4 linked regions of the Rattus norvegicus genome follow. Each later gene encodes a partner of the first gene's protein in a complex. Links are inferred from orthologs where the notes say so. Each region holds a gene or a part of one and is shown in the gene's direction. Other genes may lie near its edges. The genes, in order: Arid1a, Smarcd1, Dpf1 and Dpf3.

Region 1 (7,092 bases):
TGTTCTGAGACACTTAAAACACGTGATGTCATGTCAGATGTTAGAAATGATCCACGTAAAGCTTCTGCAAGAGTCCAGACTATGGGAACCAGACTCTGTCTTCCAGGGAAATTGCTTATAGAGTTAGTTGCAGAGGAAGAAGTTAAATGATGGAAGCCTTCCTTTATACTGTGACTTCAGAGAAGAGTTCAGTCCTTACTGGAAATGCCACTGCCATACTTCACGGTCCGTTTCTGTTTAGCCAGAGAGGCTGACAAGTGAGGCTCACTCTGCCTTGTAGGCTTTCCTCTGTGATCTTTTCATTATTGTACAGACCAGAAACTCTTAGTGAGGGTGGGAGAGCCTGACAGCAAGAAACTTATTCCAAACCTTCTAAATCAGAAAAGGAAAACAGCTGTCACCAGCAGAAAAGAAAGTGATTGGAACGAAGCCAACTACTAATCATTTCTGAATCCCTTCTCCCTTCAGGCTTCCTTCCCCTCCCCCACAAAGGAAAACAAAACAGAATAGGGCACGTGCAGGCTGCCATGTAACTGGCGTGGGAAGCAGAGCCACATAGGGCGGCTGAGGTGACCCTGCGTGCATATCTGCTTTCCACTGCCATTTGGTCCTTGTTTCCTACTTGTGGGAAAGGGGGATTGGTTGCTTATAACTTGCCTTCTGATTGGTGGGGCTCTGAACTCACTGAGCATAGGATGAGATACAGAACAAAGCTTGTCCTCCAGTTCAAAAAGGAAATCTTACTTGCTGTTAAGTAGTTATATTCCAAAGACAGTAAGAATTCCTTTCTAAGTGAAGGCCCTGAGAAAGGCAAGACTGAGTCCTGAGCTTGTCTGACAGGTCAGTGAAAGATCATCCCAGTAGACGGGTCCGATGTTACAGGGTAGGAGATAATGTGCAGTTAAACACGACTGTTGCTAACTTTACAAACAACCAAAGCGATACTCTCCCCACCCAGTGCCACCTTGCAAAGTGTTGTGGTCACCTCCTTTCCGTGGAGGTTATCTAGAGCTTCTCTAAGCTCTGAAGATTGCAACTATCACTTCAAAGGTGTCATAGTCCAAAATGTTTGCTTGTACCAGTGTTCTCTGCACTAGAGGCATAAGCTGGCCCTGTGCTGAAGAATACACTATGGATCCAGACCTGTCTGTCTGCCACAGTACTAATTAGAAGAATATTTGGGAAATAGTCTTGGTCAGTATGTCCTGGGACTGAAACAAGGAGGCAGAACAGTGGACTGGCTGTCCTTAGGTTGACAGCCTCACACTGGTGGTGAAGAATCATGTAGAAATCATTAGCTTTAAGAAGTTAGAGGGTGAGGGTTAGAGCATCCAGACTAGGCACTGAGTTCTGTTCCAACGTCAGCCTTCTGCTTGTCCTGTCTTAAGAAGCAGCGCTGCTTGCAGTTACTTCAAACTGGAAGCTTCTTGCCAAGCTGGAAGCCTGGGTCAAGTGTACTATGACTCTTCTGGTGGTCTTTCAGGTCAACAAAAACAAAAAATGGCGGGAACTTGCAACCAACCTCAATGTGGGCACATCGAGCAGTGCCGCCAGCTCCTTGAAAAAGCAGTATATCCAGTGTCTCTATGCCTTTGAGTGCAAGATTGAGCGGGGAGAAGACCCTCCCCCTGATATCTTTGCAGCTGCTGATTCCAAGAAGTCCCAACCCAAGATCCAGCCTCCCTCTCCTGGTAAGAATGGCTGAGCACCCCACTGAGGTTGAGGGCACACTTCCCTAGGTAGTGGTGCCTCCCTCCCTTCCTCCAGGGAGCAGAGCAGATGCCAGGGGTGTGTGTTTTTACCCATCCACGTGGCTTGGCAGGTTGGCAGACTAAAGAGCGGTAGTGGCGACTCCCTTGGGAGGTGCCGTGCAGCAGCCTTAAGTTTTAACTTTCTCATTTTCCTGTTGTACGCCTGGCATTTTGCCAAATGTTTGTAAACTAGTGAGTGGGAGGGACACCAGAGGAGTGAGGGAAAACTGACAAATAGCAGTGTGGCTGGGCCATCTGGGAGCTTCGGCCTGCTGATGTCAGTGCCTTAGAATGCAGCTCAGAAGAGAGCTGTAAACTCCCGGGAGAGCTGGGATGGTAATGAATGGTTAGAGGGTAGAGAGGGAATATGAATGGGACTTCTCTGATGACAGGAGTGCTGCTTTACCCTCTGTTCTCAGAGGAGGCTGGGCCTAGGCTAGCATGGGAAAGAGGCCAGGGCCCTAGAAGGTAGGTGTAAACATATGTGCCCTGTCTTTGACCTCTGAGGGTGTGATGTGTGCCTGAGATGACTCATCAGCTTGGGAAGGCCTCAGAAGTGTGCTGTCTAATGCTAGAAACGAACGGTACCTAGTGGAAATGCTCATCACTGGGAGTTCTGTGCTCTTTAGAGGAATATTAGAAAGAACCTAAGGGTGACATTTTGCTGGGTGCCTGATAGAAACACTAGGCTCTGGCCATGTGACTCCGCTCTACACCCTGTACTTTGGGGGCTCTAATTAGTCATTCACTGCTCAGCATCGGGGGATGTTTAATAGGTTACACAGGTTCTTTGGAGAAAGAAAGCTAGGTAATCAGGAAGCTACCCAAGGCTTAAATGACCTGGTGCAAAATAACATCCGCCTCCTTTCTCCAAAGCAAGACTGCAGCCAACCCTTAAACATCAAAGTGGGGGGATGTTTCTTGGAGCTCAGGTGTGCAGCTCTTGTATGTGAACTGTTGTATGCCAGTGTTTTGTGTTTGATCAGGACATGCTTCCATAAGTGATAAGATCCAATCCCTTTACATCACTGACTCTGAAAGTCTCTCACAGAGGGATCCTGGGAAGGCAAACACAGTGTCAGTCCCAGCACTCTGGAAGCTGAAAGAAAGGATCCTTAGTTCCAAGCAGCCTGGGCTCCACAGTATGAGACCCTGTCTCAGAAGAGAGAAACAGACGCATACAAATGCATATGTGCATACACCCAGACTCTAAAGCATCCGTAATTTTATAGTTAGCTGCTCACCCTGCCTCTCTGTCCACAGCAGGATCAGGGTCTATGCAGGGGCCACAAACGCCTCAGTCAACCAGCAGTTCTATGGCAGAAGGAGGAGACCTGAAGCCACCAACTCCAGCATCCACACCACATAGTCAAATTCCCCCCTTACCAGGCATGAGGTAAGGCTCATGATCAGGAACTCTTGGGTGTGTCTGGGGGTAACCTGGGGTAACCTGAGGAGGGCAGTTCATGCCTATTCACTCCCCCACCCGTGGCTTCTATGGTTCTTGACTTATCTGAGGAATTGGTGTATGGGGGGCTTCATTAGTTTTCCTCACTCTGGAGCAGGAGCAACTCAGTTGGAATCCAGGATGCCTTTCCTGATGGAAGTGAGCCCACATTCCAGAAGCGGAATTCCATGACTCCAAACCCTGGGTACCAGCCCAGTATGAATACCTCTGACATGATGGGGCGCATGTCCTATGAGCCAAATAAGGATCCTTATGGCGGCATGAGGAAAGGTGACTGACTGCTGGGTGGTGCTGGCTTATGCCTGTGGAGTTTGAGTGGCTTGGTGGTAGTGCTGAGAGAGCCTCTGAAATGCTTCTGTGTGTCACCCTTCACCATACTCTTCCCTTCCCCCTGCCGGCCTTGTCCTCTTTCCTTTCTGGGATGATGCTAGAGGCTGAAGCAAGGGAGTCATTTACCTTAGGCAAGTTTCATCCCACTGAGCCCCACACACTTAGCCACCAAACTCTTATATATTTTTTCCTCCTCCTTTTCTCTTTCAACTTGCTTTACCTAGCCACTCTTTTTTTTTTTTTAAAGATTTATTTATTATATATAAATAGACTGTAGCTGTCTTCAGACACACCAGAAAAGAGCATCAGATCCCTTACAGATGGTTGTGAGCCACCATGTGGTTGCTGGGATTTGAACTCAGGACCTCTGGAAGAGCAGTCAGTGCTCTTAACCGCTGAGCCATCTCTCCAGCCCTTACCTAGCCACTCTTAAGACTTGGCATTCTCTATTTAACCTGTCAGGAAAGAAACAGGAAGACACCATGTTCTGTAGAGAGCCTGGAACCGTGTCGCAGGAATGTGTACATTGATGAGCCTGCCAACCTGCTGGTTTCCTCATTCACTGCCTTCCTTTTTGTACTCAGCTCCAGGAAGTGATCCCTTCATGTCCTCAGGGCAGGGTCCCAACGGCGGGATGGGTGACCCCTACAGCCGTGCTGCTGGCCCTGGGCTGGGTAATGTGGCTATGGGACCACGACAGCACTATCCCTATGGAGGTCCTTACGACAGAGTGAGGTAAGCCCCTGCCCATCCCACCCTGGATACCCTGAAGCTATACTTTGCTCAATTCTCTTCTCCAATCTTGTTTAGGACGGAGCCTGGAATTGGCCCTGAAGGAAATATGGGCACTGGAGCCCCTCAGCCAAATCTCATGCCTTCCACCCCAGACTCGGGGATGTATTCTCCTAGCCGCTACCCCCCGCAGCAGCAGCAGCAGCAGCAGCAGCAGCAGCAGCAGCAGCAGCAGCAGCAGCAGCGGTGAGTGACTCCTGCTTCCTCTGCCTGTGCTGCTCAGGTTTGTGATTCTCCACCATGACCCACTCCTTCTTCTGCAGACACGATTCCTATGGCAATCAGTTCTCCACCCAAGGCACCCCTTCCAGCAGTCCCTTCCCCAGCCAGCAGACCACAATGTATCAGCAGCAGCAGCAGCAGGTAAGGAAGCGAGTTTGGGGATATACCCACACCCATTGCCCCTGAAAGCCGTCTGTAAGCCACCCAGTGTAATCCATAGCATCCGTAATATGCATTTTGGCTACGACATTGGTATTCCTCTTAGCCAACTAGGCACTTCTACTGAGAGAGTCACTTGTCTTCCTTGTTTATTAAGTCTCTCTTCTAAAGAAAGGACTAGAAACAGAGTTTGTTTTGATTTTTTGATGTTTTACATATTTTTCTATTTGAAAGGAGAACTCTAGAAAATAGTGGTTGCTCTCAGAAACAGCTTCAAAAAGTAATTTACAAAAGTGTTTGCTTTCTTGACATTTGTCCTGTCTTTCATGGGGCAAAAAGAAAAATGAGTTAATATCTATTAAGTGGAAGCTATCCATGACTCTTTGGACTTTATGTGACTCGTTACATAATATTAATTTCTTTTCTGCTTTCTCTGCCTTAGAACTATAAGAGGCCAATGGATGGCACGTATGGCCCTCCTGCCAAGCGGCATGAAGGGGAGCTGTACAGTGTGCCGTACAGCACTGGGCAGGGGCAGCCTCAACAGCAGCAGCTGCCTGCAGCTCAGTCCCAGTCTGCCAGCCAGCCACAAGCTGCCCAGCCTTCCCCTCAGCAGGATGTCTACAACCAGTACAGCAATGCCTACCCTGCTACTGCCACCGCTGCTACTGAGCGCCGACCAGCAGGCGGCCCCCAGAACCAATTTCCATTCCAGTTTGGCCGAGACCGAGTCTCTGCACCTCCTGGTTCCAATGCCCAGCAGAACATGCCACCACAGATGATGGGCGGCCCCATACAGGCATCCGCTGAGGTTGCTCAGCAAGGCACCATGTGGCAGGGGCGAAATGACATGACCTACAATTATGCCAACAGGCAGAACACAGGCTCTGCCCCCCAGGGCCCTGCTTATCATGGTGTGAACCGAACAGATGAGATGCTCCACACAGACCAGAGGGCCAACCATGAAGGCCCGTGGCCTTCCCATGGCACGCGCCAGCCTCCCTATGGTCCTTCAGCCCCTGTTCCCCCCATGACAAGACCCCCTCCATCTAACTACCAGCCCCCACCAAGCATGCAGAATCACATTCCTCAGGTATCCAGTCCCGCTCCCCTGCCCCGGCCCATGGAGAACCGTACTTCTCCTAGCAAGTCTCCATTCCTGCACTCTGGGATGAAAATGCAAAAGGCAGGTCCACCAGTGCCTGCTTCGCACATAGCGCCTACCCCTGTGCAGCCGCCTATGATCCGGCGGGATATCACCTTTCCCCCTGGCTCTGTGGAGGCCACACAGCCTGTGCTGAAGCAGAGAAGGCGGCTCACGATGAAAGACATTGGTAAGGAGACCTCCCTGACTGGGTGGCTCAATCTACCCCTTTCCATCTCTCACGTGGTTCCTCCATCCCAATGTCCGGGATGTGGTTAAATCTGGTACAGTATTTGCTAAAGGAAAGCCAAAGAGTGTGGAGGATGGAAGATGTGAGCTGATTGAGGTTTGTCTTGAAGGCTCTGCCATATGCTGGTGTCCTAGACCGCTTAGAACAATGAAGTCAGACTAGCCTGACTCAGGACAGCCTTGGGGGTACCTCTAGCCAGCTGGGGCTTGGTGGATGGACAACACAGAGGTTTATTTCAGGAACCCCGGAGGCATGGCGGGTAATGATGTCCCTCAAGTCCGGGCTCCTGGCAGAGAGCACGTGGGCGTTAGACACCATTAACATCCTACTGTATGATGACAACAGCATCATGACCTTCAACCTCAGCCAGGTAAGGACAGGTTTCTGTCGAGGTGGGGAAGGTACTGTTGGTGTAGATGACACTAGGTCACAGCAGGAATGAAGCCCTCGTCAGCCCTCGTCACTTTGCTGGAAGTCTATCATGCTCACAGTGTGTGTCCCTTGCCCCTCTCGGGGATAAGGCGTTAGACGCAGCGCTAGTTTACACGAGTTGTAAGACGACTTTCAGAAGGAGCCCGGTCGCATTCAAGACAGGGTTTCTCTTCTTACCTCTGGCTATCCTGTCCAAAGGAAATTTATTTGGGAGAAAGGATTTCATTTTTCTTTAGGGAATCTTGTTTTGAAACAGGGTCTTACTAAGTTAACAGTATGGAGGTAGCCACAAAACTTAAAGCGCTCTTGTCTTAGCATTCGCTCCATGCTCAGCTGGGAGTTTTGCTTTTGTTTTATGAGACAAGGTATCATCCATCCGTCTGTCTGTCTGTCTGTCTGTCTGTCTGTCTGTCTATCTATCTATCTATCTATCTATCTATCTATCTATCTATCTATCTATCTATCTATCTATCTATCTGGAGCCTTGGCTATAGTGGAACTTACTCTATAGATCAGACTGGCCTAAAACTCCAAGATCCACCTG
Region 2 (7,092 bases), on another chromosome or scaffold:
TGCTCTTCCCCAGTAGCCACAGTAATGGAAGTTGAATGTTCAGTTATTACAGACGCTCTTCCCTCCCACCCCAGCTCTTCCTCTGGAAGAGTACCCCCTGACACCTTCCTCTCTGTAGTGGCACAGGACCGCCACTACCCAGGAGACAGACGGCTTCCAGGTGAAGCGACCAGGAGATGTGAATGTACGGTGCACTGTCCTGCTGATGCTGGATTACCAGGTACTCTTGGGAGGTGTGGAGAGTCCAGCTTTCCTGGCCGCAGTGTATGAGTGTCTGACTACTCAGGAATGCTCTTCCACTAGAGCGACAGCAGCATGTGTCTTCGTCCTCTGTAACCCTGCCGTCCAGATTTACTAATGTCCGTTAGATTGAGTCCGTTGCTGTACTAAATACCCCGAAAGACACATGGATCCATCTCATTAGCTTCATCTACACTCTTGGTTCTCTGCAGCCCCCCCAGTTTAAATTAGACCCTCGCCTGGCTCGCCTCTTGGGCATCCACACCCAGACACGTCCAGTGATCATCCAGGCACTGTGGCAATATATTAAAACACATAAGCTCCAGGACCCTCACGAGCGAGAGTTTGTTATCTGTGACAAGTACCTCCAGCAGGTATGTAAGGCACATTCTATTTCGAGAGTCTAATTGCACTGAAAGTGCCGATTTGTAATGCCTCTCTCTCTCTCTCTCTCTCTCTCTCTCTCTCTCTCTCTCTCTCTCTCTCTCTCTCAGATCTTTGAATCTCAGCGGATGAAGTTCTCAGAGATCCCTCAGCGGCTGCATGCCCTGCTCATGCCACCAGAACCCATCATCATTAATCACGTCATCAGGTGAGTGTGCTGGACCCTGCCCTCGGGAGCCTGCTCGTCCCGTTATCAGATGTCCAGAGGTCTCCTTAGATGCACTTGCTCTATTTCTGTTTAGATTACGTAAGCTCATTACTGTGAAAACCGATAATGGCACCAACCTCTGCTTGCCTGTTACCTGCTCACCTTTGCAGAGTTTATGCCTGAAGGTTACTGGTGTTTGGGGTGGTTGCACACTCTTCTCTGGCTAAAGCTAGAGTGTTAGTGGCTGGACATCAGCCAGCACTGTCACAGCAGGGCTCCACTTCCCGCGGGAGATGCAGATTGTCACTGTGGTGGGAGTCAGCAGTCATCTTTTTATGAAAGGAGGGGCTTCCAGTCAGACTCCCACTCTTGCTTTGTTTTCTCATAATTTGGAAGATAAAGAGCCCTGCGCCTGTCAGACGCCTGCTCTTTGCCCTCTTTGTTCCAGTTACTCCGGAAAGACTGAGTTTCCCTAGTCCCTGAGCCCCTCACCTGTAGTCCCTCTATAGCTTGTACATCGCGTCCACAGAAACTGGAGTCCTGTTCTTTTTGTTGCTGTTTTTTTTTTTCCGACAAGAGTCTGTGTAATCCTGGCTGTCCTGAAACTCACTCTGTGGACCAGGCTCCCCTCAAACTCATAGAGGTCCACCTGCGTCTGCCTCCTGTGTGCTGGGATTAAAGTCCATTGCACGGACTCCTGTCTTTAAAAGTTTTCACAAAATGCCTTTGGTGCTATTTGAACTTTATGACTTTCTTAAAACCAAGCTCAGCCCAACAAGATGGTTCAGCTGGTTAAAGGCACTAGCTGCCTAGCCTGACAACCTGACATCAGCCCTGGGAAACACACACACACACACACACACACACACACAGAGAATGAATATATGGGAATGTACTGAAAACCAAATTTATTGAGTTACAAGTTGTTACTCATAGAGGCAGGCTGGACCGTAGGTTAAATCTGTTTGAAGTAAGGCAGTAAGGCATCTGGAGATACAACTCCATACAGCTCTCCGAAGGAAGACGTTGAGCATCTCTGCTGTGCACTTTGACCTTTTGCAGTCGCTTCCTTTTCCTCTCATCCCTGGACCATCTTCTGACGTTGGTACGTAGGTCTCAGAAAAAGCCATTTACTGAACTCTGCTACTTTCCTCCCCAGTGTTGACCCAAATGACCAGAAAAAGACAGCGTGCTACGACATTGATGTGGAAGTGGATGACACTTTGAAGACCCAGATGAACTCTTTCCTGCTGTCCACTGCCAGCCAGCAGGAGATCGCTACTCTAGACAACAAGGTCGGGGTCTCTGTCCCACCGTCCATCATAGCTCCCAGCTGCCTTTTGCTTTTCGTTTTTAACTAAAAAATATGTTGATACCCAGAACTTGTCAGGCTGTCGGTAACGTTTAGTGATAAGTGGAGGCAGGTTACATACATGCATTTAGATTCTGCCTATTACATTTTGTTTTTGTTTTTAGCATTTTGAGTGCATCTGTCCCTTGTAGAGTAGGCTGGCCTCAAATGCATGATGATTCTTCTACGTCATGTTCAACAGTGCTGGGGTTATAGACACGAGCCATGGCGGCTGCGTGTGAAATGAGACCACGTTATTAAGGACCTGAGCCTGTGCCTCCCGCCATAAGGTATCAGTGGGAGCTCTCCCTGCTGCCGCCATTGGTACTGTAGGCACTGTACGCAAAACCAAAGGGCTTTGTAGCCACCAGAGATAATGTGTGTGGACTTTCCTAGAGAGTAGACGCCTCAACTAAAATTTGAAGGGTGAAATAGAAGTTAACAGATGGCAAAGAAACACAGTGGTGTTTGGGGTATGGGAGGCAGAAGACAAGAGAGATAGAACAAGGTGTGCAAGAATTCAAAGGGAGAATGAGCCTGGGGTATCCATGAAAGAAGCAGAGGAAGGCATGTTCTTCACTCCTGCAATCCCAGCACTTGGGAGCAGCAGCAGGAGGAGGTACACCCCAAGTTCAGGGTCAGTCTTGTATACATAACAAGTTCCTGGCAGCTACAATTACAGATAACCGCAAAATCAGCACAAGAAGTACAAGATGTCAGGGTATGATTTTGGGGAGAGGAAGCTACTGGGGCAGTAGGAGCCTGGCTGTAACGCTTTGATCTGGGAAAAGCACATGTATCCCTCCTGCAGGTGAGGTAAAAGAGCCGGGACAAAACCTTCGTCATGGAGGTACTAATGCTGTTTGCATTAGCGGGGAGGTGGGGAGAGTTGAAGAGGGGCAGACCTGCAGCAGATCCATTTGGAGACTGGGCTGATGGTTTGTGGGAGATGTGTCCAGGCTCCAAACTAAAGGTGCAGACAGGATGGAGTTCAAAGGAATGTGGCTCCTGTTGGGTGGGGCTGAGAGGAGGCCGGCCTTGGAGGGAGAGTTGTCTGGGAGGAGGAGGAGGAGGAGGAGGAAGAAGAGAAGGAGGAGAAGGAGAAGGAGAGTTAGGGGAAGGGTAACCACTTTAGTTGAGACTTCAGCCGACCGTGTCTTGCGAAGCTAAGAGAGCACGAGGGTTTGCTGGAGCATGGTGGTGGCCAAACGTTCGGTTTGTACTGGTTCCTGTTGAAGACACCGAAATTGCAGCTTCCCTTACCTGCATAGGAGCCAGCACGTTGCTTTCTGAAGGGAGCCAGACGGCCACCGTGCGAGTGCTTGCACCCGTGGACTCTGGGCACCTTGACAATGTCAGCCTGGGTCTGCCTTTACCTTGGAGCTTCCTTCTTTCTTTCAGATCCATGAGACAATAGAAACTATCAACCAGCTGAAGACCCAACGAGAGTTCATGCTGAGCTTTGCCCGAGACCCTCAGGGTTTCATCAATGATTGGCTTCAATCCCAGTGCCGGGACCTCAAGGTAAAGAGCCTGAGAAAGGCCCAGAGGGACTCAGGGAGTGCAACACGTGATCATTTTACTTCTGCGCAGAAAGCTGGTTGAAGAATTGAGGGACCACCTTTTTGTTTTTTCAGTCCATCCCATTTTAGAGTTGATGAGGGAAATGAGGCAGGGCCATCAGGAATGTAGTCAGCACTTCCCCAGTGTTGGCTTTGGACTCCCAGCTGGACTAGAACTGGGGATCTGGGCTCTGATCCCCCACAGATGTGTTCCATTGGGAAAACATAGGCTAGTGTGTCACTAAAGGGTAGTAAACCGTGGCCAGCCGACTGGCGGCAGTAAACCTGTTCAGAGTGAGGGGATGCAGATGAAGCGAGATGGGGTTGAAGATGCTTCCCAGGAAGAAGAAAATCATAGGCCCAGGCAGGAAGATGTGCCTTGGCGGCTTGCCATAGGTGCCCGACTCGTGATTGCTGTGACCAGCACAGCAGAAAGGTCACCTGCTGACAGTGACTTAATGGGTGCTTGGGGTGACTTGGGGGTGTCTTTTTTTTTTTTTTTTTTTTTTTGTCTGCTGGGGCTTTTGAAGAAACCTGACCCAAATTGGGCGGCTTGAGCACTGGGATTGTCTCCCAGTGGTGGAGACTGGAAGTCCAAATGAAAGTAGCCACAGGGTTGGTCCTGTACATCTCCACTAGCTTCTGGTGACCCTGGGTGTCCCTCAGCTCAGGCTTGCTGTCTTCACATTGTGTATGTGTCTGTCTGTCTGTCTGCATTTCCCTCCTTTATAAGGACACCAGTTATACTGGATTAGGGCCAATCCCAATGAACTCTTAACTTGATCATCTGCAAAGACCCTATTCCATGTCAGGTCACATTCACAGGTACCGGGGGATTAGAATTTCAGCATCTTTGGTGGGGGTTGGAGGTGGGCAAGAGGTAAGTTCAGCTGAGAGCAGACTTGAAAGCAGGAACCCTGTTGTCCTCTCCTCCCTCAGACAATGACTGATGTGGTGGGTAATCCGGAAGAGGAGCGCCGAGCTGAGTTCTACTTCCAGCCTTGGGCCCAGGAGGCCGTGTGTCGATACTTCTACTCCAAGGTCGGTGCTGTGCCGGGGCACAGGGGAAGTGGCCCAAGGAGGGGCAGCGGCGTTGGCCGCCAGCCTTTGGTTTCTCGAGCTTGCATTCCTGTTTTCTCTGCAGGTGCAGCAGAGGCGGCAAGAATTAGAGCAAGCCCTGGGAATCCGAAACACATAGGGCCTCCCTGGCCCTAGTGTCTGCACCGAGTTTGTGGGCCCCGTGTTGCCTGCCTCAGTGTCCCTGTCTTGGTCTTGCTTGAGGCATTCTAGGAGATGCTGTTGGCTCCAGGACAGTGTCACAATGAAGAGGGTGTCACATTTCCGTCTCACAGTCACCTGTTATCCCTTCCTGCACCCCGGCCTCCCACCTCAGCTCCTCCCCACCAAGCTCCCACGTGCCTCTACCTCCCTGTCCTACATAGGACCTCTAGATAGTGTAGAGAACCGTAGTGGTAATGAGTGCTCTGAAGCGGTGGGGCCTCCTGAGGTCAGGCGGGCTGCAGGGAGACCCAGGCCTTGGGAGCTGTCGCCCTCTGAGCCTCAGGCCTGGGGCAGTCTGTAAGCTAGCTGACCTTGGCTTCCTGGTAACCCTACTTCTTCCCTTCCTTCCCTCCCTCCACAGGTTGGAGCAGATTCATTCACCTTTCTTCTTGCCCTCTAGCACTAAAGGAGCCCAGGTTCCGGGCTTCACTGAATCCAGGTTGGTCCCTGCCCTCTGGACTTAACCTGCTGTCTGACCCCCAAGTGGGGTCCATGTCAGTATTGGAGTGTGGTTTCAACTCTTGCTCCTCCACACACTCCCGTAGCTGTCAGTATAGGATTTCCCCACACCTGCCCTAACCGCAGTGTTTGGGCTGGGATCTCGCCTTTCCTTGTCATTCCCAGCAGAGACTGTCCTTCCTGCTGTTAGAGGAGTGGCTTCTTCATTCACTCCACCCTGCCCCCTTCCAAAAATGGAGAAACAGGCCTGAAATCAAACGGGTAAAGCCCTAGGCCGTCCCTGTCTTCCTGTCCCATGTCTGCCCAGTTGAAACCCACTGGTGGCTTCCAGGGCACTGAGGAGTAAAAGCGCCTAGGGCTGGAGAATAGGTCTGAAATGGGTTTGTGACTCCCCACCCCTGCCCTCTAAGCTTCAGACCTCAGGTAGCAGCAGGCTGTGTGGTCTTGGCCCCTTGGGACAGATGGCTTTGCGTCTTCCAGGGAAGCCTCAGATTCTTCCAGGTTTTGTCACCTGGAGTGGCATGTCCCAGGCTCGCAGACAACACTGCAGGGTGGGAGACAGCTGGGCACGGGGATTCCGTTGAGCATGGGCTCTGAACCCACAGAACTGACAAAGCCCCTGCTTCCCCACCCCCACCTCAGGCTCCTGCGAGCAGTGTTCCTGCACCCTTCCTTCCTGCCTGTTCTGTACTGGGACAGCAGTGTTTCCCCTGTCCTCCTCATGTCCAATAGCCTCCCTCCTCTTGGAAGGTCCTCCCCACAGTGACACTGGACAACCTTGGGGCAGCTGAGCCCAGCCTGGCTTCTGGCTAGAAGCATGATGGGTGAACTCGGCACTCCCAGTGTCCCTGTTGATAACTGTTTTTATTAACTGAATTGTGTTTTGTTTTGTTTTTTTTCATGGACCAAAATTTTTTTTGTACTGTCTCCTTACTGATGTCACCCAGTTTTAATAAAAGACTTCTGAAGAGCAGGTCCCTGCTGTCTGTGGGGTTGCTGTGGGTCCCCATTGTCTGGGGGGGAATCATTGGGTCCCCACTATCTGGGGGGTGATCACTGAGTCCCCTGCTGTCTGGGAGTCACTACTGTAGTGTCTGCCATCTTCCCTCCCAGTGCCTTCTTCCTTGACAGGTGTTTCTTGAGGATGTTTGCCGGTCGTGCCAGGCTCTGGAGGTCTGGGAAATGAGTCTTTTTCCCCTGGGGACTCTGGGTCTTATTAGAGGCTTGTGACCTCAGCAATGCCCTTGGGTTGGTTGCTCCAACTCCCAGCCATCAAGAACAGACAAGGCAGTGCCGCTACTGGTGTCTCCCTCGTCCTTGAAATCTCCATGTCATGTACTGGCAGGAACAAGCTGTCCTTGGCATCTGTGGCCCCTTGATTTTGATGAAACTGGGCTTTGTTCTCCCAAGAGTACATGTCCATCCAGCCGCTGCCAAGGGCCCAGTGACAGGTTTTCCATACAGACCCACCACATGCACTGATCTCATGCTTTCTGAGGTTCTGTGAATGGCCCCAAGACACCGGGGTTTTCTTTGTGTTGTTTCCCTGTGATAGGGGTCTCTGTAACTAAGGCTAACCTTAAACTCACTGTGCACCTATCTCAGCA
Region 3 (7,092 bases), on another chromosome or scaffold:
CCGGCCAGGGCTTAGCTACCACTACACCCACACCCACCTGGCTGAGGAGGAGGGGGAGGAGCACACTGAGCGCCACGCCCTGCCTTTCCACCGGAAAAACAACCATAAACGTGAGTTGTGAGTTGGAGGGTCAAGGCTGGTGGGTGAGGTGCGAGGGGTGGGGCGGGGGCGGTGGAGACTGGTAGTGTCTGGGGAGGTGGAGGCACAGTTAGACATTTCTGGAAAAAATCTTCACGGTTCCCTCCCCCACCAATCATAGGGATGCTGGCTCTAGGGTTGCCATGACAACCAACCCCCTCTCTCTCTCTCTCTCTCTCTCTCTCTCTCTCTCTGTCTCTCTCTCTCTCTCTCTCTCTCTCTCTCTCTCTCTGTCTCTCTCACTCTTTCACTCACTCCCTTCCCGGGTTTATTTCTGGGTCTGATTTATTGTTTCAATTAGAACCTGGAGTGGGGTGGTAGATGATCCCCTCTCTTCCTAGACCTCCCTTGTCTCCTCTGCTATGCTAGGGTCCAGGGGCAAGGTCCCCAGGGTCCTTGATACCCACTCATGGCTGTTCCATGCCATGACAACTGAACCATGGGGGGAGGGGGCCTAGCTCACCTGTCCCTCAAAGACAGCTTCTACAAATCCACAGGCCTGACCCAGAACCTTCTGTGCTATAACAATGTCCTCCTGATTAGGCGTTGCAGAACTGCGGGCTAAGCGTTGGCCTAGGCAAGCTTACCTGGGGGGTGCAAACACACGATGGTGGCAGCAGCCATGGGTTCTTGCTAAGGTTATGTCTATCCTCACACTTTTACCCAAATAGAGAAAACATACCCAAATAGAATCCTAAGAGTTAGGGTTCTGGTGAGCATTCCTTGTCCCTCCCCCAGCTTTCTTGCTACTTCCCAGTGCCTGGGCCAAGGGTCCGCCCCTGGGGCTGAGGCTGGGGACAGATGGGACCTTGCCTATGGTAAGAGCCCCTTTCTGTCCCCCTACCCCCAGAGTTTTACAAAGAATTGGCCTGGGTCCCCGAGGCACAGAGGAAACACACAGGTAGGGGCACCTCCCTCCTCCCCGACTTCTGCAGTAGTCTTTGACTGGCACGCCTCACCTGTCCTGTGCCCACCGCTGCCTGCTGTCTTTCAGCCAAGAAAGCACCAGATGGCACTGTCATCCCCAATGGCTACTGTGACTTTTGCCTGGGGGGCTCCAAGAAGACTGGATGTCCTGAGGACCTCATCTCCTGTGCGGACTGCGGGCGATCAGGTGAAACTCACTACGTATTTCTGGAAGATCGGAGGCGGGAGGAGGACATCTCAGAATCTGAATTTAGGGAGTGGGAGGCAGGCGAGTAAGGGGCTGTCCCTAGCCTGTCCTAGGGGCTGCCTCTGCTGCAGGGGTTTGTGACAGACTGAGCAGGCTTGCTGGCACAGTGGGAACCAACAGTACAAGGTGCCCTGGCTTTGTGCTTTCCCGGCAAGGAGAGTAGAGAGAAGCTAGGGAGGCATTGTGGGTAGGGGACGGAGGTGTGGGAGCAATTGCACCACCTGGGTGCTGTGAATAGCAGGATTGTGTGCTGTAGAACTGTGGTTAATACAGTGTGGTTTTCCATGGAGGCCTCCTGGGTAGTAAGGCTGGTCACTTGAGCAGCGTGGATGATGGACTGTGGCTGTGATGTGCTGTGGGCAGAGTGCTGTGGCTACTGGCGTCTGGCTCTGAGAGATGTAGTTGTAACCGTTGGGTGCTGTGGGCAGTGGCTACAGGTGCCTTCGCGCCGTGGGAGAATGGCTGAGCCGATTCACACCGCGAGTGTTGTCAGAGGAAGTTCGTTTGCTGGTGCCTGGTGCGGGATGGCCTTTGGTTTTCAGAGAAGCAAGGTGTGGGGACCCTGTTGTGGAACTCAGTTGCCATAGCATCCTGGTTGGCAGAGGTCGGCTGCCACGTTGCTGTGGTTAACAGGAGGGCTGGACGCTCTGCTGTGGGTATTGGAATGTGGCTGCCTAGCGCAATACTTAACAGACTGTGGTGGCCGCGGTGTTGTGGGTGGTAGAACGTGGTTGCCACAGCACTGTGGGTAATGGAATGTGGTTGCCATGGTGTTCTGGGGAGCAGAGTGTGGTTGTCATGGTGGCTGAGTAGGAGACTGTGGTGGCCAACACACGGCTGCTTGCCCGACAGTCGAGCTTCCGGATGTTGGTCTCAGGGTTAGGGTCCCACTGCAGAGCTCACCTTGACCTCTGGGTCGGGGCTGAGGATAGAGCCATTACCTCCCCACGTGTCAGTAGCCACCAGAGGTACAACGACTCCGCTAACGGCCTCCCTGCCCCTCAACCCCCAGGACATCCCTCGTGTTTACAGTTCACGGTGAACATGACCGCAGCCGTGCGGACCTACCGCTGGCAGTGTATCGAATGCAAGTCCTGCAGCCTGTGTGGCACCTCGGAGAATGACGTGAGTGCCCGCCCCACCTCCCGGGCACATCCCCAGCTTCCCTTCCGGCCTGGCTCTGCCACCTTTGCTCGTGAAGCCTAAAGCCTTCCTTGTTCATAACCCCTGGGTGACCAGCATTAGCATGCATTACGGTCACCATCGTCCCTAGTGTTCCTTTGTCATATTCTTCCCCTTGATGCCTCCCAGCCTCCCTTGAGGCTGGTGCTCTGGTTCCCACTACACAGAGACGATACTGAGCTCAGAGAGGGAGAATGACGCCTGAGGTCGCCAAGCTCAGAAGGTCGTAGGGCCAGCATTCGAACCTATATATTGGTCCCAAGTTGGTCTCTGGCTAGTTGAACATCGTTCAGCGTTCTGTAGCTACAGAATCCAGACCACACTGTGTGAGCCGCGACAAGGCCAGTTAGTTTTCTCATAAGGGCCCCTGGGACCCAGCCCCTGCCCCAGCCCCCCACCCCGGTTTCTGGTGCCCGTGCCCCCAGGGTGCCAGCTGGGCGGGTCTCACCCCCCAGGACCAGCTGCTGTTCTGTGACGACTGCGATCGGGGTTACCACATGTACTGCCTGAGCCCTCCCATGGCGGAGCCCCCGGAAGGTGAGGGAAGAGATGGGTGAGACACGGGGTGGGTGGGTTGGAACATTGTCTTCTTGGTGGCAGAGACCATGTGCTCTGGGTGGGGACAGGTGGGGGGGGCGCTCTTCATCGGCTTGAGTCTAATTTTGTCTCACTGGCTTCCCCCGCAGGGAGCTGGAGTTGCCACCTCTGTCTCCGGCACTTGAAAGAAAAGGCCTCCGCTTACATCACCCTGACTTAGACCTGGCTCTGCTTCTCCAGGACCTTTGGGTGGTGCTATCCTCGGCCTCTTGGAGCTCCTGACTTTTCCCGCCTGGTGTCCCCAGTGGAAGGGATAGGGTGAAGCCCAGAGAGGGGCCAAGGCGGTCTCCCTCTGCAAGTGGAATGTTACCCTGAGGGAGGGTGGGTCCAGCAGGGTCCCTCCTGTCCCCCATCTTCATTCCTTGACAAGTGGGCACCAGGCTTCTGCTCCCCTCAAAGCCATACCCCGCCTCTGGGCGGGCATAGAGGGGTAGTGGATGCCAGCCAGTGGCACGGAAAAAGCCTTTTTCTAAAGAAAAAGACAAAACGTGAAAAAAAAAAAAGGAAAAAAAAAAAGAAATTAATATATACAAAGATTCCTCTAAGCCTGGCTGGGTGGGGGGCCACTGAGTGTCTGCTGGGACCTGACTTTACCAGTTTCCTGAATGGCCCCTCCCCACCCCATTTCTGGAGTTGCAATTGTCTCAACTCCCATCTGAGGTGGGTACCACACCTTCCTCACAGCCAGGCCAGGTGGGCATGGTGCCCACACACTGCCCCCTCCCGGTACCCACCGTGGATACTGCATGATGTGAACCATGGTTTTGAACTCTTCCTGCCCCTCCTTTGAGAGCCCCGCCCTGCGCCCACCCGGTGCCTGCCAGACCTGGGGCTTGCAGCTGGGGGAGGCCGGTGGGGTGAGGCAGGCAGGCAGGCAGCCAGCCCGCTGCAATGAGAAGAAGCACAGATTGCAATGGACTCAGTTGTTTTTTGTTTTTTGTTTTTGTTTTTGTTTTTTTTTCTTTCTTTCTCCCTTCTCAACCCTTTCCTTCCCTACCCAGCCAGGCTGGGCTGCCTCCTTCCCCCCATCGCTAGCCATTTTGGGGGTGGCAAGGAGGTGTGGTCGTTTCTCGTGGTTGTGTGTGTTTGTTGTTCGGGTTTTAAAAAAGGGAAATTGAGACTGCAAGTGGGGGGAGGTGGAGGGTCTGGGGGAGTCTGCCCCCCAACCCAGGAGTACCCCCCTTGCCACCAAGTCTCCTTTATTGCCTGCCTCTGCTGTGAATTAACTTGTTCTGTGTATTAAACTGGGCCGGACCCCTCTGCCCACAACTGCTTCCATCTCTAACCTCTCTTGGGGTGTCACCAACATGGGAAGTCAAGGGGCCTCACTGGGGTAGAAGCCACTGTGGCTGGCCCCCACCTCTTTGCCCCTACACCATGCCTCCCTCTGGCTTTGTCCCAGCTCCTCCCTGTCTTGCTGGAGAGAAGAGGGGGATGGGGTGGAGGGGCTCCCACCCAGCCAGCTGTGGTTGCCATAGCAACGGGCTGCTGCAGCTGCAGCGGGAGGCAGCTCAAAGAGGGAGGTGGGAGTGAAGACTTGGGGGGAAGGGAGGGCTGGAGAGACCAGAAGGCAGCCCCCTCCCAGGCTAGGGTTCGGAGATTGCACCTCAGCCGGGTTGGCTGTCACTTGGGATTCCCTGTCCTGGGTGTGGCTAAAAGTGGAGGACAGGAGGACGTCTCAAAACACAGGGATTTAAGGAAACAGGCAGGGTGGGGTGGGGGTGGGAATGGAGTACCAGGGCAATGGTCAGAAAGGAAGAGGATTCTGAGGCCACAAATTTACTGAATGAAAAAAAGAGGACAAAGCTCATTTGTGGGGAGATGGGCAAATGTGAGAGTCCCAGGAACTCCGAGGGAAGAGGACTGGGACGGGGTGGAAGACTAGTCCAGGACATAATAGTCTAAAAGAAGGAAAAAAAAAAAAAAAAAAAAAGCCAGGCTCTGGCAAGACCAGGGGAGGGAGAAGTGGACAGCTATTTGGAGAGACAAGCTGAAAATTTACAAAGTCAGAGGGACAAAATGTGGTAAGGGGACAGGCAAAGCCCCCAGACAAAAGACACGGGGCTGAGGGAAGTGGGTTTTGTTGGAAGGCAATAAAGAATGTAAGGACCGCCATCCAGGATGGTAACACACCATGTGGCTCAGAATCCTAGCACTGGAGGCTGAGGCAGGAGGACGGTGAGTTACATGTCATTCCTGGGCTATGAGACGTCTCTTTAAAAAGGGGTGTGGGGGTGCAGACAACAGAAATCTAGAGAGTGCCAGGCAGATGAGGCCAAAGAGATAGTGTGGCAGGCTGAGGAGAAGTGGGGGAAGGGGCAGGAAAAACTGGGGCAAGAAGGGAAAGGGACTACAGGGTGCAGTGCAGGCGCCATCAGGGTTTGGCGTGCGGGTGCGGGTGCGCGTGTGAATTGTGGGGTGTTGGGAGATGGTGGTATGTCTCCCAGGCCAGGAGAGGATGTGAGAACAGTTTGTTCCCGGGTTCCCTCCCCCACTTGGCCCAGGTTGGTGGGGGGAGGGCTGGGCTGGATGGGGCCCTGAGGAGGGTGGAGAGTGAGGATGTCTGAGTAGCTGGAAACCCTTGCGAGGGCTGATTCTCCCCTGGAACTAGGCAAACACCTTTCGGAAGACATTTGGTGGGGTGGTGAGGGTAGGGTGCGGAGGAGTACCACAGTTCAGCTCAGACTTGAAGAACGTAAAGACAGCTGATGGGGAGGGGGCAGTCCTGTCCAGAGAGGCCGACTTCCCACAGGAGGCGGGTCTTTAGGATCTTCCCGTGGAATTCCTGAGTCTAAATAGTCAGTTTGCCTCATGCCCCGCCCACCCGCGGATGTCCACAGTTTCGGCAGGACACAGATCCAGGGCCCCAAGTTTCAAGCCGCCCCCACCGGTCCTGCCAGGAGGGCCATAGAAAACCTGGTTTTGGCTGAGGCTTCAGGAGTTTGTCTGATATACTTCCTTTACCTAGATGGCAATCTTCCTTTATCTCTGGTCCCCAGGGACCCCGGGGCAGCTCTCCGCTGCAATCCACTCCCTGCTCTATTGGCACAGAGAGGTCCTCCGCACAGTGGGACCCAGTGGAGAGATGAGTAGGTGGGGCAGGGCACAGAAATGTAGCTGGGATGGGGAGGGGTGTGGCTTGGGGCCCAGCGGAGGCCTTCGAGCCAGAGGCTTCACACAAGTCCCACAAACATGCCAGTACTTGCTTTCCCGGCAATCTCCCGTGTTTTTTGTTTCCAGATAGACTTACTCTGTGTAGCCCTGGCTGCCCTGAAACTCACTATGTAGACCAGGATGGCCTCAAACTCAAAGAGATCCACCTCCCTCTGCCGGGATTAGAGGTGCATTATTACCTTACTTTGCCTGTTTTTTTTTTTTTTTTTTTTAACATACCAGAAGAGGGCATTGGGTCCCATGGATGTGGAGTCAGACAGCTGTGCGCATTGACCTGGGGGGTCCTCCGGAAGAGCAGCGGGTGCTCTTAACCACTCAGCCACTTTTTTAAGGGCTTTGATACCACTTGGGGTCAAGCACAGGGTGGCCTCAAACTTGCTATGTAGCTGAGGAAGGTCTTGAACTCCTGATGCCCCTTCACCTCCAAGGCTGAGATTCCAGATGTGTACCAATACAACTGGCCTTGAACTCTCTGGGATCCTCCTGCCTCAGAGAGCTGGGATCACAAGTGTGAACCATCACACCTGGCAAAAGTAGACCGTCCCCTCCCCCTTTGATGACAGGGTCTCGGTGCAGCCCTAACTACTTATTTCCAACAAGCTGGCCTAGAGTGCACAGAGATCCACCCACCTTGTCTCCTGAGCGCTGGGATTAAAGGTTTGTGTAACCATGCCCACAATGCAGACCTAGCTTCTTTTCTAACTTCAGCACATTCTACATCCTGAGGGTCGGGTTTCTTGTCTGGATGCCTAGGAAAAGCTGCAGGGCTGTGTGCTGTGCAGCAGGGGTGTGATATGAGCCTATGAGGAGGGAGCCAGCACTGACTT
Region 4 (7,843 bases), on another chromosome or scaffold:
AGGGTAGGTGTGGCCTTCCCTAAGAGAATCCACTCATAGCTAATTTGCATTCCTATTTTGGCGCTAAGCCTATGAAGTCGTGTGTATATTTGACACATCTCAGAATTACCACTTATCAAATGCTCAGTAGTCACCTGGGCTCAGGAAGCTCTGGTTTGACAGCAAAGCTCACTGCTACCTAGGGGAGGGGGAGAAGTGATCATTCTGGCTCCCTTCTGCATTCCAAATAGCTTGCCCAGCCACCTAGATCAAGGCAGGCAAGATGGGGTTTGTACTCACAGGCGAGCCAACAGAGCTTTAGAAATGGGATTTTGTTCCCCTCCCTCCCCTCCATCCCTCCTCCCTCCTCCCTCTCCTCCTCCCTCCTTCTCCCTCTTCCCCCTCCTCTTTATCGCTATTCTTTTCCTTTTCCCCTTGGGCTGTCAGGGACTAACCCCTAAGACAGATATGTATTTGGCAGGCTCTGAGGTCCTGAGTTAGCCCCCTGACTTGTGATGAATTTAATTTTATGTGTAGGAGCGTTTTGCTTACAAGTCTATCTGTGCACCATGTGCATGTCTTGTGCGTACTTCGTCCAGGAGAGGGCATCAGATCCCCCCTGGAACTCCTGTTAGAAGGCTGTGGGTCACCATGCCCGTGCTGGGGGTTGCCCTAGGTCCACATGAGCAGCAATGTGTGCTCTTAAGCACCAAACCATCTCTCCAGACCCTGAAGTGTGATTTTTTTTTAAAAAGTGTTTTGATATCACAACCAATAAGAAGGGTTTTAGGTTTATGGAGTTAAATTGGGGAAACATTGCTATCAACATTGTTCATTTGCTCTAATCAATGAGTTTAGAAATAGAGAATTATTTCTGCTGTCTGTTGTCATCTTCTCGGGATTCCTATGTTCTTTATGTCACCAGCTGGCAAATGGTGGCAGACAGATGGATTTCAGAGTCTATATTACTATTGCACAGCACTGGTGAAGCCCAGACTTTAATTCTGGTCAAGGTTTCTGTCTCCTTCAAGCATGTTTACTCTAAATCCCTTGCTTTTGAAGATTTCGGCCCAAATCTGTGTCCTTTTAATCTATGATACAAACCCCAAAGTTAATAACAATATCTCTTTATTTCTCAGAAGTGATAAAAGTGACTACCAAGTCAGAATTGTACTGACAGTTAAAATGACTTTCCATGAAGTCGAAAAACCAAGGCAATACTATTTTGGGGGAGGGGTGATAAGATTGGGTTTCCATATTTGGGGGTGTGTGTGAGACTGGGTTTCCATATGTAGTCCAGGCTGGTTTTGAACTTTAAGGGAGCACTATCACACCTGGTTCTCTTTACAGTGCATCAAAAACAGCTTCCTAATCGTGAGACTCTGTAATGAGAAGAGAGGGTGGGGGAGAACATCACCCTACTAGGCAAACAAAGAGTTAAATATTTCCAGTCTGCACACACGGACTCACTCAGCTTTGCTGGGCTTATCTGTAACTCTAATAGTGAATGGAGTTGGAATCTGAAAGTTCCGAACTGCTTTGTGATTGTATTTTACTTTATTCATGGAGAGTCGTAAAAGGCGAGAGCAGGTGGAATTGTGAACTGCAATTCAGCATCTCTCGGTTTCCTTTTCACTCTCCAGCTCTCTGCTATTTGACCTGATTAAACAGCCAGGGGATAGCCAGACTTCTATATGCTAACGATAGAGTCTCTGGACTCTATGTGATTTCGTGCGTTTTCGCCCAGTCTGAGTCTCCCTGTGCTCCGTGGAAGCCTGAGTTCGCAGAAGTCTTAGTTTCTTCAGGGGTTCACCAGACTCTAAGCAGCCGAAGACTGGGGAAGCCTCCAGTCACGTCTGAACATTCACTTGCAGATTCTTTTCACCTCCTATCTTAGTCCAGAAAGGTGACGCCTGGATTCGCAGAGCCATTCCCGGAGGGGACTCTAGCAACACCTACAATTGTCAGGCTCTAACAATTTCTGCCTAGTTACTGGCTTCCCTAGCTGCGTTTCCTAAAGTTGCCTCAAATCTTCCCCAGCCTTCTGCCTAAAAGGTGCCAGGTCTCACTTCGTTCCCAAGCTGGTCGTGTCAGATCTTCGAAATCGTCGACAGTGGAGAACGGTGGTCGTAGGGGACCGTGCAGAGTGACCACCTGTGAATTACGTAACAAAAAACCATGGCTGAGACATTCCAGGGGGAAGGGAGTTGCTGCCCTGGACTCTCCCGTTCTCAGAAACCGACCGAGGAAGGTGGGTGAGATAAAGAAAACACTTCGGGAACAAGAAAATTGAACAGCGGCAGAACCCAGAGCATTTTTAGCAAAGAGTGGAGCACAGTAGTAATTTCTTGGAGGAAACTGCAGCCTTCCAACTTTTTGCACTTGTAACACAGTGGTGTACCCGAGACTCGGGGGTTAAAACCGTGATATACAAAGCCCAAAGCTAATGAATGGGATTCAGCATTTTTGTTGGCATTATGTAAATATTCTTGTCCAGGAGCGCAAACTCTGCGGTTATTTAGTAAAGTAGGGACTCAAACTAAGCGAGATTGCTCTCCCATGTATCTCCACTAGTCCCTATTTGAAAGGGCGCTACTAACACGGTACTGCCCCTTTAAGACCTGCTCGCTCTCGGGCTCTACAAAAGGGAGTGACCTCTGGGCTTTGACAGCTCCCCTAATAACTACCACCACGCAGGCTCCGCCCACTTGGCGACCAGCCGCGCCGATTGGCCGGCAGACCGGTATCCCGTGCTCTGATTGGCCTGCCGCTTCCCCTGAGCGAACCTTTAGAACTCTGAGACAGACAATATTCTGTTACATTGTAGCAAAATGGCGACTGTCATTCACAACCCCCTGAAAGCGTAAGTAAGACTAAAAAATGTACATATTCCGCGTGGTTTCAATATGAAAAAAAGGCGCCTTGCGGAGCGCAGCCGGCGCTCGGCTCTCGCAGACGCCTCCCGCTGCGCCCGGGCTCCTCTTTTCTTCCTGCTCTTACTTCTTCATCTTTTTTCCTCCCAGCGCGCAGAAATGTCAGGAGATGCAATTAACAAAAAGAAAATTGTTAAATTTGTGTTCTGCTTAATTGGCTGACCCGGACCGGGAGGGAGCACAGAGCGCCGGCGCCGGCTCCGGAGCTGCGGGGGTCGTGTGCAGCTCGGGTCTTCACGGTCCCCGGAGTCCCCTGCCTCTCCCGGCGCCGCGCGGGGCTGGCTGAGTCCGGCCGGAGCGCGGGGCAGGGGCCGCGTCCTGCGCTCTGCTATGCCCTGCGCTCCAAGCCGGAGCTTCCCCGGCCCCGCTGCTTGTCCACCGGGGCGGGCAGACCGACCGCAGCGGCTGCGGAGTTTTGCAGGGCGTTCGCTCTGCCTTCCGAGCTCTCCCAGGGAGTTTGTGTAAACCTTCCGGAGTTGGGAGGACGGCGCGCGGAGCGGCGGGTCCCGGGAGTCCTGGGGCCCAGGTGCTTGCCCCGGGCTTTTCCACTCCGGCAGCCGGGGATCAGGCGGGCGCTCCGGGCGGTCGCCGGTGTGTCTGTGTATTTGTAGGCTAACTGGCTCTAGTAAATTAACGATCTGGGTTAACTTGAGGTTGATATGGAGACGGGGAAACTGCAGGTCTTATTAATGGTGTGCTCGCCTGCTCTGGGTGAAAAGCTGAGGCGGCGGAGGCGGCGGTGTAGGGCTCTGGCGACAGCGAGGGGCAGGTGCCTCCCGGAGACTTTGAGCGGACAGAGGGGGGCGGGCTGCGCAAGGACTCGCGGGGGCCGGTTCCGATCGGAGCTGCCTGCCTGCCCGTCTTCCTTCCTTCCTTCCTTCCTTCCTTCCTTCCTTCCTTCCTTCCTTCCTTCCTTCCTTCCTTCCAGTCGGTGGACTGAATATGAAGCCGCCAAGTCTGCGGGTGATCGTGGAGCTGGGGGTGGCCTGGGAAAACTAGTGTGGCTCTCAAGGGGCGCTATTGGCAGGGATGTTGGCAGAGGGTGGATCCTTGGGAATCGCGGCGCGGCGTGGGCACCGGGTGGGTGCCGAGTGTACTAGGACTTCACGCCCTGATGAAAGCCTCTGGGAATCGGAGGGTGCGCGTGGGTGTTTAGTACCAATTCTTCCCGGTCTGTGTCAGTGGTCGATCTTGGCTTTTAACTGCGCGCTACAGCGTCCTAAGCCCTGGCTCCGGGAGTCGAAAACACCGTTCGCTTTGGGGAGCAGCAGGGCGGCGGCGAGTGTGTGTGTGTGTGTGTGTGTGTGTGTGTGTGTGTGTGTGTGTGTGTGTGATTCCTAGTGCCAAGAAACGCGTAGGGAGAACCCGCTGCGTTTGCACCAGCCAACAACCAGGAATAGGGCAGGGATGTCCCAGATCTCGGAGTTTCCACGAGATACTGCGGTAAAGACAGGGGCTGAGCTTGATGCGAGTTCCTGGCTCCGGTTCCCGCTCGGAAGCTCAGCTACTTTGCACTCGCGACAGCGTTTAACCTGAGAGGGGAAAAAAATGTTTTATGGCAGAATAAATGGGCGTAACTTCGCCGCGTCCTCGCCGACTCCCGCCACCACACCGCTGGTGCCGTGAGTTTCTCCAAAACCCACACAGCTGATTTGCAATTTCCTCATTTCCAGTCGAAATCACGTAGCAGAGCTGATGCTGCTTGGTAAACTCAGGTCTGAGAGATCTATTTGCTATGTGTACGGGGTTCCTCATTGGGAAAGCGGCATCCTTGGTGCCCGGGAGCGGGCTTACGCTCGGGCGCGCGCAGGAGCTCCACGCTCCAGGGTTCCCCAGATCTTTTCACTTTTTTTTTTTGACACAGAAGCGTGCGTGTATTGGAAATTGTGGGGAGAAGGAACAGAGAAGCTAGAAGGTGGTCAATCTCGGTTGATAGAATTAGTTCTGAATTATCCTTGTATCCCTTAATAATTGGAAACACTTGCCGTGGGATGCATTTGTAACTCCGTCTTGGCTCACGCACAGGGGCGCTCACCCACAACACCCCTGCCTGCCCTTTCCTCAGAGGAAGTCCAGTGGTCACTTATAATTAGCCATCCCCTTTTGTATCCCATCCTCTTCCCCTGAGGACTAAGGGTGTAAACAATAACCCCAATCAGCCAAGCTTTTTGCACCCTGGACATTTTCAAAACTCCGCACGCAGGAGCACACACACATCGTTACTGGGAGACCGAGGCCATCTGCTTTTATCATTATTATTATTATTTTAAAAACAACTTGTTTAATAAAACATCCTATACATTTCATTTGTTTTTAGAAGTTGCTGACCAGGAAACAAAACACACGTGAATAAATTATGCATGGGCTAAATTAGAACAAAGCAGAGCAACGCATCCAGCCGAAGGGATGGATGGGGGCGCAGGGAGGAGGAGGAAGAGTGAGGGGAATGGTTTGGAGAGCTTACGTGTTTATCCTTGTGTGCCCCTCCTGACAATGAGGGAGCTCCAAGCCACATTAGCATTTTCTCCGTGTGCAAGCGCTCTCTCTCGTCTTAAAAAGGCAACATCACGGACGCCCCCTACAGAAACTGGTCACAGAAAGATTTCCTCTTGAGCCTGGGGATAAGTAGCAGTAGTAACGGTGTTGGGAAGAAGCCAGCTCAGGTTTCTTTCATGCCACCCCGTGTAGGGCTGTGCCTTAGACTCTGGGTCCCTTTTCATCTTGCTAGCTTTTTTCCATGTGGGGGCATTCAATAATTCAACTCGCTGGATGACTAGATGGCTCAACTTGAATCTCTGCTTCGCGTGGGGTTGGGGGTGTCTTCTGTAGGGTCCCAAGTGCCTGAAAACAGCCTTTCTTGGTAGCTTGCCTTTCTTCCTGGCTGTCTTTGATCTCTCCTCAACTCCTTTTTCTTGCTGGTTGCTTTCACCCCTTCCTCTCTGAAGCTGACAGTCTGGCTTCTCCATTCCAGCCTTTAACTTCTTGTTACTGCCCAACAGGGTGTTAGCCGCAGAAACAGGAGCTGCCAGGTCAGATTAGATCAGAAAGGAACGCAGCAGGTGGCCCCACAGCTAAGCGGTCACATCTGGACAAATGGAATTCAGAGACACTGACAGACACATATGATGTGTAAATGTGAGTTGCCTGCTATTTAAATTAGCAGCTACACCCTGTCCTCTGAGTGCAGCTCATCAGAGACCTCCTCAACTCCTGTATACCCAGGAAGTGAACAGGGATAGATTTGATAAAGGCATGGGTGTAAGTTACATGTTGTCGATTTCTGTATACTTGGGAAATAAAATGCTTAATTAAAAAATTATTTATTTTAGGTGAGCACATGCTTTTAGTCCCAGCACTGGGGAGGCGGAGTTGGTGTCCAGCCTAGCCTACATAGTGAGTTCTGGGCAGCCAGAGCTGCATAGAGAGACCCTATTAAAACAAAGATACTATTTTATGTGTGTGTGTCTTGAGTGGGTGTGGTGCTGGAACAAGTGTATGTGTGTGGAAGCTCGAGCGTGTGTGTGTGTGTGTGTGTGTGTGTGTGTATGTGTGTATGTGTGTTTGTGGTTAGAGGACAACCTTTGGAGTGGTTTCTTCCACCATGTGTGGTCCGGGGATTGAACTCTGTTCAGGCGTAGAGCAGACACTCTTACTTATGTTTTTATTGTAAGATCTCACTATACTAGCGCAGGGTGCTCACCTTCCCCCGTGTCTGCCAACAACACTTTAAGCAGCACAATCTCACAGTAACTTATCAAAACTCTGCTGGTAGCACTTAACTGGGAATGCCTGCCACCTTCTGCCAGACTTGATAATGTACATATGTATCTGTTTTTATAACTCCGGGCTCAGAGACGGAATAAATGCTATCGTCACTTCATTATTCTAGTTAGGGCTGTAATGCTTTAATTGTTTGATTATAGACAACCAGAAAGCTAAACTATTTAGTCATGCTTATAACGATGATTCCTTGTACACAGTTGCCTTGAAGCTTCACTTTGTAAAGAGTTACTCCAGCTTGGAGGTACTTTGCTTTATTATTAAGGACGTAACTCTAAGAGGAGGAAATGTTTACTTGATCAGTATTCAACATGGCTCGTGTGTACAGATGATGTGGTCAGGTCTTTATCTCTCTGTCCATTCTTTGATGTGGATGTGTGTGTGGGGCACATGAAGGTTAGAAACCAGACCTTACTCTTGCTGAGAGAGCCAGTTTAATTATCAGAGAGGAAGGGTCAGGGGGCCACATTCCTGGTCCTAATCTTGTCTTGGCTATTTTGATTGGGGAAGGGGTGGTGAGTAGGGATGAAGCAGAGAACAGTGGGGTAGGGGGCTTTGTGAATTTTCGGCCTTTTATGGACACCATTCTAGTCCTTGATGGAAAAGGACCCTTGAAGCCAACAGATGCTTGACCACTACCATTTCTCTCCGCTTTAGTCATCAGTGTAAAAATAAACAGGAGGGTGGGGGTGGGCGGAGAGTAAAAAGCACTGGCGGTTCTTCCAGAGGACCCGAGTTTGGTTCCTAGCACCTACATAGAGCATCCAAGCTCGAGGGATTTGACACCCTTACACACACACACACACACACACACACACACACACACACACACACACGCACACGCACGCACACAGATAAAGTGAATCCTTATTTATTTGTCTGTTTGTTTATTGGTTTTAAGAGACGGTTTCTCTGTATAGCCTTGGCGTCCTGGAGCTCATTCTATTTCCCAATCTGGCCTCAGACTAGCAGATCTACTTGCCTCTGACTTTCTGAGTGCTGGCATTAAAGGCGTGCATCAAACTCTGGCAAAGTAAAATAAATCTTAAAAGCCCTAAAGTCTCTAAACTTCATTAGCGCACATTATTTTTTATTTTTATTTATTTATTTATTTTTTTTTTTTGGTTCTTTTTTTCGGAGCTGGGGACCGA

Evidence for each region.
Region 2: Arid1a (region 1) and Smarcd1 share a complex: the UniProt entries of both Homo sapiens proteins name them as parts of the neuron-specific chromatin remodeling complex. The link is inferred for Rattus norvegicus from reciprocal best matches to the Homo sapiens genes ARID1A and SMARCD1.
Region 3: Arid1a (region 1) and Dpf1 share a complex: the UniProt entries of both Homo sapiens proteins name them as parts of the neuron-specific chromatin remodeling complex. The link is inferred for Rattus norvegicus from reciprocal best matches to the Homo sapiens genes ARID1A and DPF1.
Region 4: Arid1a (region 1) and Dpf3 share a complex: the UniProt entries of both Homo sapiens proteins name them as parts of the neuron-specific chromatin remodeling complex. The link is inferred for Rattus norvegicus from reciprocal best matches to the Homo sapiens genes ARID1A and DPF3.

Annotation. Positions count from the first base shown.
Region 1 is NC_086023.1:151,197,089-151,204,180, reverse strand, and holds part of Arid1a (AT-rich interactive domain-containing protein 1A), read left to right. Parts: intron 1-1,483; coding exon 1,484-1,691; intron 1,692-3,014; coding exon 3,015-3,147; intron 3,148-3,313; coding exon of another isoform or gene 3,314-3,316; coding exon 3,317-3,489; intron 3,490-4,133; coding exon 4,134-4,284; intron 4,285-4,359; coding exon 4,360-4,527; intron 4,528-4,604; coding exon 4,605-4,704; intron 4,705-5,164; coding exon 5,165-6,056; intron 6,057-6,355; coding exon 6,356-6,486; intron 6,487-7,092. UniProt on the Homo sapiens protein: Involved in transcriptional activation and repression of select genes by chromatin remodeling (alteration of DNA-nucleosome topology).
Region 2 is NC_086025.1:132,712,710-132,719,801, forward strand, and holds the end of Smarcd1 (SWI/SNF-related matrix-associated actin-dependent regulator of chromatin subfamily D member 1), read left to right. Parts: intron 1-118; coding exon 119-220; intron 221-452; coding exon 453-614; intron 615-734; coding exon 735-832; intron 833-1,991; coding exon 1,992-2,127; intron 2,128-3,584; coding exon 3,585-3,707; intron 3,708-4,684; coding exon 4,685-4,786; intron 4,787-4,889; coding exon 4,890-4,943; 3' UTR 4,944-6,458; downstream 6,459-7,092. UniProt on the Homo sapiens protein: Involved in transcriptional activation and repression of select genes by chromatin remodeling (alteration of DNA-nucleosome topology).
Region 3 is NC_086019.1:93,739,065-93,746,156, forward strand, and holds the end of Dpf1 (zinc finger protein neuro-d4), read left to right. Parts: coding exon 1-110; intron 111-988; coding exon 989-1,039; intron 1,040-1,132; coding exon 1,133-1,252; intron 1,253-2,324; coding exon 2,325-2,437; intron 2,438-2,919; coding exon of another isoform or gene 2,920-2,949; coding exon 2,950-3,031; intron 3,032-3,180; coding exon 3,181-3,251; 3' UTR 3,252-4,361; downstream 4,362-7,092. UniProt on the Homo sapiens protein: May have an important role in developing neurons by participating in regulation of cell survival, possibly as a neurospecific transcription factor. Belongs to the neuron-specific chromatin remodeling complex (nBAF complex).
Region 4 is NC_086024.1:108,851,571-108,859,413, reverse strand, and holds the start of Dpf3 (zinc finger protein DPF3), read left to right. Parts: upstream 1-2,788; 5' UTR 2,789-2,810; coding exon 2,811-2,842; intron 2,843-7,843. UniProt on the Homo sapiens protein: Belongs to the neuron-specific chromatin remodeling complex (nBAF complex).